Linked DNA regions of Tribolium castaneum. The protein of the gene in region 1 purifies or fractionates together with the protein of each later gene. This does not show direct contact. Links are inferred from orthologs where the notes say so. Each region holds a gene or a part of one and is shown on either strand. Other genes may lie near its edges.

What was found. Proteins that work in one complex are often made in the same cells at the same time.
Region 2: the proteins of Ge-1 (region 1) and pcm purify together in Homo sapiens (co-immunoprecipitation; 4 studies listed by BioGRID and IntAct, with this or other methods). This does not show direct contact. The link is inferred for Tribolium castaneum from reciprocal best matches to the Homo sapiens genes EDC4 and XRN1.
Region 3: the proteins of Ge-1 (region 1) and Edc3 purify together in Homo sapiens (affinity purification with mass spectrometry; 6 studies listed by BioGRID and IntAct, with this or other methods). This does not show direct contact. The link is inferred for Tribolium castaneum from reciprocal best matches to the Homo sapiens genes EDC4 and EDC3.

The regions. Positions count from the first base shown.
Region 1 is NC_087398.1:143,882-148,010, reverse strand, and holds the start of Ge-1 (enhancer of mRNA-decapping protein 4), read left to right. Parts: upstream 1-1,329; 5' UTR 1,330-1,465; intron 1,466-1,583; 5' UTR 1,584-1,586; coding exon 1,587-1,633; intron 1,634-1,687; coding exon 1,688-2,080; intron 2,081-2,144; coding exon 2,145-2,484; intron 2,485-2,534; coding exon 2,535-2,647; intron 2,648-3,212; coding exon 3,213-4,129. Other genes in the region: lysosomal thioesterase PPT2 homolog, read left to right, coding at 221-355, 406-547, 597-704, 763-1,036, 1,086-1,284. UniProt on the Homo sapiens protein: In the process of mRNA degradation, seems to play a role in mRNA decapping. Component of a complex containing DCP2 and DCP1A which functions in decapping of ARE-containing mRNAs. Promotes complex formation between DCP1A and DCP2.
Region 2 is NC_087398.1:6,306,442-6,310,501, forward strand, and holds the start of pcm (5'-3' exoribonuclease 1), read left to right. Parts: upstream 1-1,207; 5' UTR 1,208-1,399; coding exon 1,400-1,474; intron 1,475-1,519; coding exon 1,520-2,299; intron 2,300-2,347; coding exon 2,348-2,468; intron 2,469-2,517; coding exon 2,518-2,678; intron 2,679-3,463; coding exon 3,464-3,541; intron 3,542-3,594; coding exon 3,595-4,060. Other genes in the region: SCAP (sterol regulatory element-binding protein cleavage-activating protein), read left to right, coding at 1-72, 123-396, 446-831. UniProt on the Homo sapiens protein: Major 5'-3' exoribonuclease involved in mRNA decay. Required for the 5'-3'-processing of the G4 tetraplex-containing DNA and RNA substrates. The kinetic of hydrolysis is faster for G4 RNA tetraplex than for G4 DNA tetraplex and monomeric RNA tetraplex.
Region 3 is NC_087396.1:13,257,802-13,261,870, forward strand, and holds the start of Edc3 (enhancer of mRNA-decapping protein 3), read right to left. Parts: upstream 2,854-4,069; 5' UTR 2,622-2,853; coding exon 2,470-2,621; intron 2,424-2,469; coding exon 1,959-2,423; intron 1,915-1,958; coding exon 1,615-1,914; intron 1-1,614. Other genes in the region: mRNA export factor Gle1, read right to left, coding at 3,682-4,069. UniProt on the Homo sapiens protein: Binds single-stranded RNA. Involved in the process of mRNA degradation and in the positive regulation of mRNA decapping. May play a role in spermiogenesis and oogenesis.

The DNA.
Region 1 (4,129 bases):
AATAGTGACAACATTATTATTAATTAATTCATTAATTCAACTCATTGTTTATATTTATATATCATTCAATGTCCGAATTAAACACACAAAGAACAATGACTGACCAATCATTATTTAAAACGCAGTAAGCAAATCTGCTAGTGATAACTTTGGTGTTTACAAGTGAGATTGTTACAATACTCAGGAAATTATTTATTGTACTTTATTTATTTTTGTGAAAATGAAGTATCTGTTTTTACTTTGCATTATCTGTGATTTATTTATAACAATATTGAGTTATAAGCCAGTTTTTTTACTTCATGGAATCATGACAGGAAGTGCTAGTATGGAAATAATCAAAGGTCGGATTGAGGAAGTAAGTTGTTTTTTTGCACAATGAAAAAAAAAAAATAATTATGACACCAGCAACACCCCGGTACAATAATTTACAACACTAATCGATTTTCTGGTTGGTCAAGTCTGGAAAACATGTGGTATCAAGTCCAGCAGCTTGGCCAAGATCTCCTAAACGTTTCAAGTCAACATCCTGAAGGGATACACTTATTAGGTGTGTTTTATTTTGTGGGAAAAAAACTGAAGAGTCAAATATATTGTAGGTTATTCACAAGGGGCTCTCCTTTCACGAACAATTCTACAAACATTTAACAATCACAATGTTCATAATTTTATCTCACTCAGTGGCCCCCAAGCCGGTCAGTATGGAAGTACGACCATTGTAACCAACATTGAAACATTTATAATTGTTAATAAAAATAATTTTAGCGAATTTTTTACATTTGATTTTCCCAGACTTGGCACTCAAATCAGCTTTTGAATTATTTTACTCGAGGGTAGGCCAACACACCTCAGTCGGTAATTACTGGAACGACCCTTACCACCAAACTTTATACAAAGAATATTCCCAATATTTACCATTCGTGAACAATGAAATTATTTCAAACAGAAGTGAGGAGTTCAAGAAGGGAATAACTAAACTTAACGCAATGGTGCTGATTGGGGGCCCTGATGACAACGTGATAACCCCCTGGGAGTCAAGGTATACTTCAATTTTTGTAAAATTAATAATTTTGTAAAAAATTTTTCAGTCAGTTTGGATATTTTGGCCAAAATGATACAGTGGTCAACTTAATCGATCGTGATATTTACAAGGATGATCTTATTGGACTGAAGACTTTGGATAAGGCTGGAAAATTAAAAATTATCACTGTCCCTGGTGTTAACCATTTTATGTGGCATCTCAATACCTCAATCGTCGACAATTATATTTTACCATACCTTGATTAAGTCAACACCAAACTGTAGTCAACAATTAATAAAACCTGAAAACTAGGTTGGCGCCTTTTTTTAAAGTTCGCTTGGTGCCAATATCACGACCCAAATCCACTAAAACGAATTTTTTATTTGACGTTTGACGATTTATCTTTTCTTTTTAGAGTGACTTTTAATAAGTTGGGATAAGACACACGTAAGCCCACATTTTTCAATAAATTTGTTAATTTTTGAGACGCAATATGTGCGATTTTCGTGTTTTTTATATTGAGTCCGGTTTGGTTTTTGTGTTTTTTACCACTCTTGGTTTATAGAAAATGAATTCGCCACCGCTCGCCCCTCAAGACGACGTGATCCAAAACATGTACGTATGAGCAGAAATTTGAGGTTATGTTTGAGGGAATTGGTGTTTTTGCAGCAGTTACACCGATTCTGATACGGAATATTCTGCAAAAATTGTGGGTCATGAAGTAACAGTTCAGTGTAACTCGGGACAGCATAACCATGGAAGTTCTAAAGTGAAACTTATCAATCGGATTGATTATAATTGGGAGTTTCACTATTATCGCGGACAATTGGTCGCTGTTCACATTAATGGAAAAATTATTGCTTATGGGATGAAGGGGAAAGACGGGGGCATGATCCGAGTTACGAACCAAGAGACCAACGAAAGAGCACTAATCAAAAACTTGAAAAATGATGTCAAAGACCTGTCTTTTGCTTTTTCACGCCAACAGATTATTTTAGGATGTATTGACGACGAAGGCAATGTTTTCATTTATGAAATCATTGATGAACCTAGTGCAATAAAGTATCCTTCAAAATTTTTATTAAGCAACGTAAAAAAATAAAAAAGGCCCTTAACTAGCCATTAGATACAAACAACTACTCCACATATTCCACAGTGATGTGGTCCCACATTCAAGCCCCAACTTTCGAATTATCTGGTGTCCCTACTTGACCTGTTTTGACGAGGAAGAGGAGACACCAGATGATCCTGAAAAAATGTTTGTGGTATTAAATTGGGACAAAGCCGAAATATGGAATTTTGGCATGATTAATGCAAAGTATGGGCCAGGTCCTTTACAACCAAATGAAAACTATGAGGGTTATGTTGAAATTAGCCATACTGCTGAATTGGTAGATGCTTCATTTTCGTCAGATGGGACCGCTATTGCAATTGCTTGCTTAGACGGTTATGTGAAATTTTTTCAAGTACAAAATAACGCAAAACAGGTCATTGTTCACATTTTTGGTGTTTTTAGATTTACATGGTTGACAATGAAAAGCAAAAGTGCTTGCATGAGTGGAGACCACATGATGGTAAACCACTATCTTCTATCATATTTGTCGACAATTTGCTGGAGTGCAGTTCTCAGTAAGTACATGACAAAATGATTAAATTAAAGTCGGTAAAAATATTTATTTTACAATTGGAGCCGTCTAAATGCAAATCTCGTTCTTTGTCAAAAATTCGAAAAATATTTTCTATCTGCTGCCTAATCGTTTTTTTAATTGTTTTAATTAATTTCGGTTTGCTTTAATTATGTAGGTATTTAAATTATTACAATTATTTACATAAATTAGATGTAAAACTCACTCTTTGCTCTTTGTAAATCTAAATTCCTATTTTATCCCTGAACTATCATTTATACAGCATACGACATTCAATTTTTACAGTTATAATGAAACCACATAAAGAAAAATGCTCTTTAAAAGTTATTTTAACTTTAAAAAATAGTTTTTCGCAAATATCTCAAAATTAACTCATTGTCAAAGAGTCAGTTTTGCATTTAGACGGCTCAATTGCAAATTGCATGTCAGAATAAGAAATTTAAAAACTTACAATGATATTTTTCCTGTTTGTCCTGCTGCTGAAGCAACATATTATTCAAAGACAAAATAATATTGGCTCTGACTAAAATGTTGCTGCCATTTCTCAGGTGTTGGAAATTCACAATAACGGGTGCGAATCACAACTCTGAGCTAAAGTTGTGGTCTTGTGAAACGTGGACTTGTCTCCAGACAATCCATTTCAAACCAGATCCATCGAATCTAATCCAAAGTGTTTATCTTAAAATGAGTATAGACTACTCGGGTCAGTATTTATTAATGTCCGATCTAAACAATAAAGTTTTATACGTCCTGCAATTAAAACGAAGCGATGAAGCTCAACAAATATCAGTAACAATGATATCGCAATTTTTACTACCAACTGCCTTTTTGAGCTTCCACATAACCGAAGCCAACTGTCGCAAATTACGTTCGTCCGATATGAGTGAAGAGTTTTCACAAGATGCCGATCAAGATGACGATGATGAAGACGATACTGTTGCAGCTGTTGTTATCAAAATGTTGGTGATTCAGCAGAAAAAATTCCAAGAGTGTAATATTGTATTTCAACCAGATGCGATGTTGTGTAATACTGAGATTATATTTAATGAAATTAAAGAGGAATTGGAGAAAGTGCCAAAATTGGACGATCTTCAGTCATCCGTTACTTTATTAATAAAACAACAGCAACAGCAACAATTAACTTTGATGACTCCTGACGCTTTTACAACAGCTGAACAAAACTCTCGTCCTAATAGTGTCAGAACTAGCATCAATGGTGATATTAATAAATCAACCGAAGGCACAAATGGCGATACTGTTGAGAATTTGATTGATTTTCAAAGACCTGAAAAGGATAATTTTGCAAGTGGAGGTTCTAGTCCTAGTAGAGAAGTTCAGGAAATTCTATCTCTTAACAATTCAACGTACAGCACTCAGGACTATTTCGATAATTTAACGAAAATGCAAGAAGAACAAGAAATACCCCAGAAGGAGTACAAACATAACGAAAATCTCATGTACCAAG
Region 2 (4,060 bases), about 6.2 Mb from region 1:
GCATACCGAAGAACCCACGTAAGGACTGGCTCAGTTGGTTCCGTCCCTGATCACACCAATTTAATTTCACAAGTAAATTATCATTTTTAACTCTGAATATTTCTCCAAATTACGATTTTTAGAACGAGGATGAGGAAGATTTCCGGTGTTTGAAAGTTTTCAGCGTTAAGGCACACCAACAGCCGATTATCTGCCTCGACTGTGAAGGCGGCAGAATTTTAACCGGCAGCCAAGACCACACGCTTAAAGTGTTCCGACTGGAGGACGGCAGCCCCCAGTACACGCTGCACGGCCACTGCGGCCCCATCACCTGTCTTTTCATTGACAGGATCAGTCCAGCGACTTCTGGCAGTGGCTCCCAGGACGGAATGCTCTGCGTTTGGGATCTTCTAACTGGTAAATAGGTTTGGTGGTAGGCCGAAATTTAATGAGAGCGTCGTTACAGGTGCCTGTATGTACAACATCCAGGCCCATGATGGTACGATAACATCGCTGACGTACTCTGCGAGTTACGTGATTTCACTGGGTTCTGACGACCGCATTTGTGTTTGGGAGCGCTTCCAAGGCCATCTTCTGAACACCATTTACGTTTCTCAGACCTTTTCTAGCCAGGTGTTGATGTTGGCCCCTCATTTGGTTGTCACAGCTCGCAGTGGAGGGCTAGTTATTTGGGATGTGAGGTCGGGTGAATGTGTCCGAACGATTATATTAGGCCGTTCACCGTATATTTTTATCAAACAGTTGATGTTGTTACGCGATGCTGTGGTCTGTGATTACGGAAATCAATTGCGCATCGTGAGGTTCCCTCTTATCACTCATAAATTTGACTAGGTTGTTTCTACGTGCCTTCAATGATGTAACATAGTTTCGTCTATTTATGTCTTGTTTTATTTTTATGTCCTTTACGTAAAAGCGTCAAAACGTACTGTAAATTTTTCACTGACAAAAGGTTTCGAATACCTAATTGTTTTTTCATTAAGTTATTTATTTATTTGGCGGAAATAAATGCATTTAACATGAATTTTTATTATTGTTATGTTAACTATTTTTGTAACAATAAATATTTTAAATAACGAGATTGGTTTTATTTCCATTTCTTCTGAACTGCAGTTGCAAATAAAATAGTCATTGAAGCGATAATTTGCTTTGCCCTACGTTGCGGTACGGTTACGCCAGTGGCGTGTAAAGCCGACATTAGGGTCATCCACGTTTTCTGTCATCTGTCATTCGAAACGACATATTTTTCTTTTTTGTTGTGAGTTGTGATGAGCATTTCATAATTGAATATAGAGCTTTTGGTGGATTATTTCTTTCATTTCATTCAAACACACTCTATATTTACATGCGTCTTAGAGTTTGCGAGCGACGTTGAGACCCGCACTGAAAACAAGCCTAAATCATGGGGGTTCCCAAGTTTTTCAGATACATAAGCGAACGCTACCCTTGTTTGAGTGAATTTGTGAAAGAATATCAGGTAAACCGCAGCCAGCACCCAACACGTCCACATTCTGGGTTTCAGATCCCAGTTTTTGATAATTTGTATTTGGACATGAACGGCATAATCCACATGTGTTCGCATCCGGACGACAACAACCCTCACTTTCGAATCACCGAGGAGAAGATATTCGCGGACATTTTCCACTATATTGAATTTTTATTCCGGATGATCAAGCCCCAAAAGGTGTTCTTCATGGCAGTGGACGGGGTGGCGCCCAGAGCCAAAATGAACCAGCAAAGGGGACGCCGGTTTCGGTCGGCGAAAGACGCGGAAAAAATGGAACTTGAGGCGAAAAAAAAGGGCGAGAAATTGCCCGACGTGGAACGTTTTGACTCAAATTGTATCACACCTGGCACTGAGTTCATGGCCAGGTTGCACGAACAGTTGAAATATTTCGTCGTTTCTAAAGTTTCAACCGACAATATGTGGAAAAAGTGTAAAATAATTTTATCAGGGCATGAGACGCCCGGCGAAGGGGAGCATAAGATCATGGATTATATAAGGTACATTAGGTCCCAGCCTGGGTATGATCCAAATACGCGCCACTGTCTTTATGGCTTGGACGCTGATCTCATTATGTTGGGGTTGTGCACCCATGACCCCCACTTCTCACTGTTGAGGGAAGAGGTCAAGTTTGGCAAAAAAGCCAAACGAAGCAATGTACCTGAAGAGATAAGATTTTATCTGCTGCATTTATCTTTAATGCGAGAGTATTTAGAAATGGAATTTTCGCCTCTCAAGGAGGCTTTGAAGGATTCAGATAAGATTAAATTTGACATTGAAAACATTATTGACGACTGGGTACTAACTAAAACTTTGGAAAAATGTGACTGAAATTAATGCTTTTAGATTCTGATGGGCTTCCTTGTTGGAAACGATTTTATACCAAATTTGCCTAATTTGCACATCTCTAATGGAGCATTACCTGTTCTTTATAAAGCTTACATTGAAGTCTTACCAACATTAGATGGTTATTTTCGTTATTCTTACTCAAAATGTTGTGTAATTCGTTTTTGTAGGCTACATTAATGAAGCCGGAACGCTGAATTTAGAGCGGTTCGAAAAATTTATGAAAAAGTTGGCAGATGTAGATATAAAAAACTTTGAGGAAATCCAAGATGATTTAACGTATTTTGAACGCAAAACTGGGAGAAAAGCAACTGCGCATCTTCCCGTTAGTGTAAGTTATTCTAATAATGCAAAAAAGTAAACAATTTTGCCTTTTTCGAGCGTTTTACACATCTTTCAGGTGCAAACGCAATTGTTTTGCATGAATAATAAACCGAAAAATTACCAAATTAGTTGCAAAAATCTTAGATTATTTCATCTTTTAAGTACGTTTTTGAGATTAAAGAGCGAAATTTTCTTAAATTTGCTTCTCCAGAACCAATAAATTATGATTATCATTATTTTTCTAGTTTTTTATTTTATTATGACATTGTTCGTACAGAGACGTTGATTATTGCATGGTATTTCTTTAAAAATAATCTGAGAAAACGTTGACTTTGCTCGAAAATGGTGTTATTTTTTATGTTTTGTGCATTTAAGCACATTTTCATTTAGAACAATTTCTTGTTTTTGACAGTTTTAAATTATTTCCAAAATAATTGGGTTTGTTATTTTTATTAAACATCACGTTAATTGTTGAAGTTTGTTTTAATTTTCTTATATTTTTTAATTTTTATTGGTCTCGCTTTTTGAGAGGCTCGGAACCGTCTAATTTTTAGCTGAGAGCCCATAAAAACACTGTAAGTTTGTGTACTTTTTTAAACATGCTAATTAAGAAGACCTAATATTGTTTTTTTCCTTCAAAAATGATTATAATTATTGTTATTTGGAAATCCATTAAACCGTGAAAAAACTAAAAATAAAATATTACGTTACGTAATAGATTTTCACTGAATACGCTATTTTACAATATGAAAAGTTTAATATTTAGTAAACTTTATTTTTTCTACACTCTAGTCTAAACCTGTTAAAAACGGCGAGGAGAAAAAAATTGACCCCGCACTTGCTGAATTAATAGCAGCAACCGATAGTTTGGTAAGTCCTGGTTTAAAAAAAAACTCTCCCAATTGAACATTTTCAATGCAAAGGCCGTCTCTTCCGATGAAGAAGACTTCGAAAGTAGCATTTCATCAGAAGAAGACGAGGCTTTCAAAAGTTACAAAGACGAGTATTATCGTAATAAATTAGAGTTCCAAGAGGTGACGCGAGAAGTGATGCGAGAGCAAGCCGAAGGCTACGTCCGTGCCATCCAATGGAACTTGAATTACTACTACAACGGAGTGTGCTCATGGTCGTGGTTTTATCCACACCACTATTCGCCCTACATCTCCGACATTAAGGGTTTTTCCGATTTGAAAATCGACTTTGAGCTCGGAAAACCCTTCAAACCTTACGAACAATTACTGGCTGTGTTGCCCCCAGCCAGTAAAAAACTCCTCCCGGAATGTTACCATTCCTTAATGACTGATGATAATTCGCTGATCAAATCATACTACCCTGAGGAGTTTCAAACCGACCTAAACGGCAAACGCCAGGAGTGGGAAGCTGTGGTCC
Region 3 (4,069 bases), on another chromosome or scaffold:
TCAGAAAACTTCGCACCACCAAAGCCAAAGTTGTTATCGAGACCTTCAAAGAAATGTTTGCTAGACATGGTATACCCGAAGTTGTCCGCTCCGACAATGGCAAACAATTTGATTGTCACGAATACAGAACTTTCAGCAGAAAATATGGATTTAAGTTAATTACCAGTAGTCCCCATTACCAACAGTCAAATGGACAAGCCGAAAGTGCTGTGAAGCTGCTCAAAACGATATTGAGGAAAAATGAAGATCCATATCTTGCACTTCTTACCTACCGCAATACACCTACTAAATGTGGATTGTCACCTGCCCAACTGCTCTTTGGCAGAAACCTTCGAGACAGACTGCCAAGGTTACCTTCAGGGTTAAAACCTGCAACTATCGACCATGACACTGTCAGACAAACGTTAATCAACAATCAAGCAGAACAGAAGTCCAACTACGACAAACGACACCGAGTAACAAAAGAAGAGAAAAATCTAAAAGAAGGTGATCGCGTATGGATCATAAATATGCAAAAGGAGGGAGAAGTACAACGCAGATGTGAAGAACCAAGGTCATATTTGATCGAGACTGACGGCGGTTGCGTCAGACGAAATCGAAGACATCTTCAGCCCTTACCAGACAGAAATAATGAACCCGAACATGACCCAGAACAACCAGACGAATCAGAGGAACCAAAGAAAAGACCAATCAGAAGACCCAAAAGATACCAAGATTATTATTGTTATTGAAATATGTATATTTTGATACCTCAGGTAGTTAGTTTCATATTTAGCTTAGTTTTGTATTTAAAAGGGGGGATGTTAGGTTGGCAACTCTCACGTGGGCGACACGGGAGTTGGAGGGGGGTTTTTTGGCAGAGTGAGTTAGTTAGGTTATGTCGCAGAAGGGGCCTGGACGCACCCTCAATGCTCCGGGATATTAGTCAATAAACAGTTATAAGGTTGAATGGTCTATTTACAACTAACCTAACAAGTATTGTACGAATTCAGATTTAAATCATGCTACTTAAAATATTCTTAAAAAAAAATAATTTTTTTATTGGTAAACGACTCAATTGTATGCCGGAAAATTTAAGAGTACACGCTGACTAGCTTTAAAAAATGATAAAAATATCTAAACAAGAATCCAGAGATTTCAGATGCAGAACAGCTTTAGGAAAGAATCAGAATAATCTTAAAGAATTCTAAACGAAAGTAGAGAATTTTTATTGTTATCAGTGTTTTGTGCAATATAGTTATTAACAATATGAGTACGAAAACACAAGCTTAAAGTCCGAGGACTGTCATACAACGAGCGTATACGAGTGACATACCTGGACACTCGAGAACTTTAAGCATTTTCGCATAAATATTATTCAACTTTTTTTTTGTTGGAACATTTTAATGAAAAACACGTTGCTATGGGGAGCGTGTTTTAAAATAGTGAAAACACGTTGCTATCGGAAACGTCTAGGATTCAGATATTAAAAAAAGGCTTAAAATATTACCAAAAAAAAAGTCTGTTGCCCTTGTTTTAATGTTTCTAATACCGCTTCTTATTTAAACGTGGAGAATTATGATTTTTACCAAGCTCACTGCCTTCAAATGAGCTCGGAAAATTAAACAAACTTACTTGTGCGGCCCACACAGCACTACAACAGTGGGAAACTGGTGCGAGTTGTGAGGATTCAACCTATGCCCGCCCCCCAATAACTGTACCGAAATTTCGGCAGCTGCCCTCCCAAACAGCTCCACCCTCTTATCCCACGTGAGCCCCACTCTATCAGCCACTTCCCACAGTTTCTTTCGCAAAGACCTCGAAATGCTCGGTATAATCAGCCCATCATCCGTCACATACTCGCAAAAGTCTTGCTTAGGCACTATTATCTGCCTATACGATGCTGGAGTGCTTGCAATAACATTTTCATCATGCCTGGAACAAACCCTGTGACTGTGCCACGCTATTTTTCGCCAAACCTGTATTTCGCCGGCTTCTTGCTGTCGGCATTCTTAATAACGTCCGGTTTCTGGGAGTTGTTAATCTCGTCCCAGATGGCTTGTTTATCAAAAAGCGCCAAATTTTTCTCAAAATCGAAGTCTTTGTTGATTTTGTGGTCCAAAGGCGAGCCGAAACACTCCTCGTCCTTCCAGCCTTTGGACCACTTGCCTTTTGACTTTTCTCGCCTGACTGGGGTTCCGTTTTTGAATGAACTGGATTCGTTAAAACTATAGTTCGTGGTTTTGGGTTCGATATCAATGGGTTTTGATTTGCTGTGAGATCCGTTTAAATTTGTATGTTTGGATGCTGCATTGGCGACATCTGAGGTGCTCTGCGTTCGTCCAGCGCGCTTCGCGATTGGCTTGGCGATGGTTATTGTGCTTCTCTGTGGAGGTGAGCTTAAGTGCTTGTCAATTAATTTCAACTCTTCGATTTCGTTTGCCCTAAAATGCGATGCTCAAATTCGAGGTGTTGGAGAGACTGGGTTACCTAATGGTCACTTCGTTCGAAGGACAGGGAATGCCGTTGCAGAAAGCCTTAGTTAGAGCAATCTGAGAAGTCGTAGCTGCGCTAATTTCACCTTGATAAGCGGTATCATCGGCGCACTTAATTGAGACCATGTATCCTACCCACTGTGCCATTTTCTTTACAAATATCAATAGCACAACCGAGAGCAGATAATTTGTATAATTTATAAAATGAGGTTAGGTAACACTGCGCAGCAGATTTATCAGTCGACCTCAACTTCCCAACAAATTATTAAATACGTGATGTAGAACCAATAATTAGCACAAAACAAGAAGAAATATTTACAACAATGAACCCACAACAAATTAACAGCACCCAACAACCATCTCTTGCGACACACTTTTCGATACAGCTTTCTCTCTCGCACGTTTCACCTTTTCTAAAAATAAATTCGCGCCGTCTCTCTCTGCCCAACGCTGAGTCGCATCAACTATCTCTTTCCAACGTCCGTTAGTTAGAAATACCGTACAACCGAAATATTTTATAAAATTTTAAACCGCAAAATAGGCCTTAAGTAGCGCAAAAATTGGCAAAATAAACTCGAAAGAAGTTGCAAAATTTCGACACTTTTTATGCTTCTACAAAATGAGAATGCAGGGCCGGACTCGTTCCTAACCCCGGTCTCCCGGTGCTTCAAGCCCGTACTAATTACAAATCTGAAAGCCCCAGTTAATTTTCGTCGTAATCAGGTAGAAAAATCAACCACTGAAACGACCATAACCTTAACCGTTTTTCCAGAAATGAGTAATATCATGACTTTGGTGAAAATCGGGGCTGTGGGGGGCATAGCGACGGTCACGATGGGCTTATTATACCGAAATAAGATTGAGCAAAACATTAAAGGCACCGTTTATTACAAAGAAGCCTTAAGGACTGTGCGAACCAACCGAGGGGCAGTGCACCTCCTCGGCGAGCCAATCAAAGACGGAAAAATCGACCTAGACGACACGGAAACGAACTTCACGAGCGAGAATTCCGCCCATTACGAAGTCCCCATAAGGGGGCCCAAGCAGAAAGGGCGAGTATATTTCTGGGCCAGTAAACATGACAACAACTGGGTCGTATACAGAGTAGAGTTAGGGTTAGAAAACGAGCCCGATCGGAGGTTACTAATTAAAAACCAGGACCAGTAAATTAATAAAAGTTTATTTCTCCTTGTATATACACAATAAATTACCAGAAATTGTTGGGTAAAATCCCATTGGGCGTTTCAAAGTGCCCCTTGCTTTTATAGTCTTGCAGCAGCACCTCTAGCCTCGTCACGGGCCCCCCCGAATCAATTTTCTTCAACGTCGGCATGAACTTCTCCATGATAATCACAACCAATTTCTTGAAGGCCATTCCGTAGACCAGTTCCATCTCAAAACCAACAGTTTCGAGGAAAACGTGCAAAACGGTTGCTGTGATGTCCAGCTGTGGTTTTAATTTTAGGATTGAGGCCAAAAAAATCCACGCGTTTGTAATGTCGTAGGGGTTTTTTGTCTGTCCCCGCTTTGGCTTGGCAATGAAAATGGCAAAATACAGTCGCAAGATTCCAGTCATTCGTTTGAGAAATTTGTCC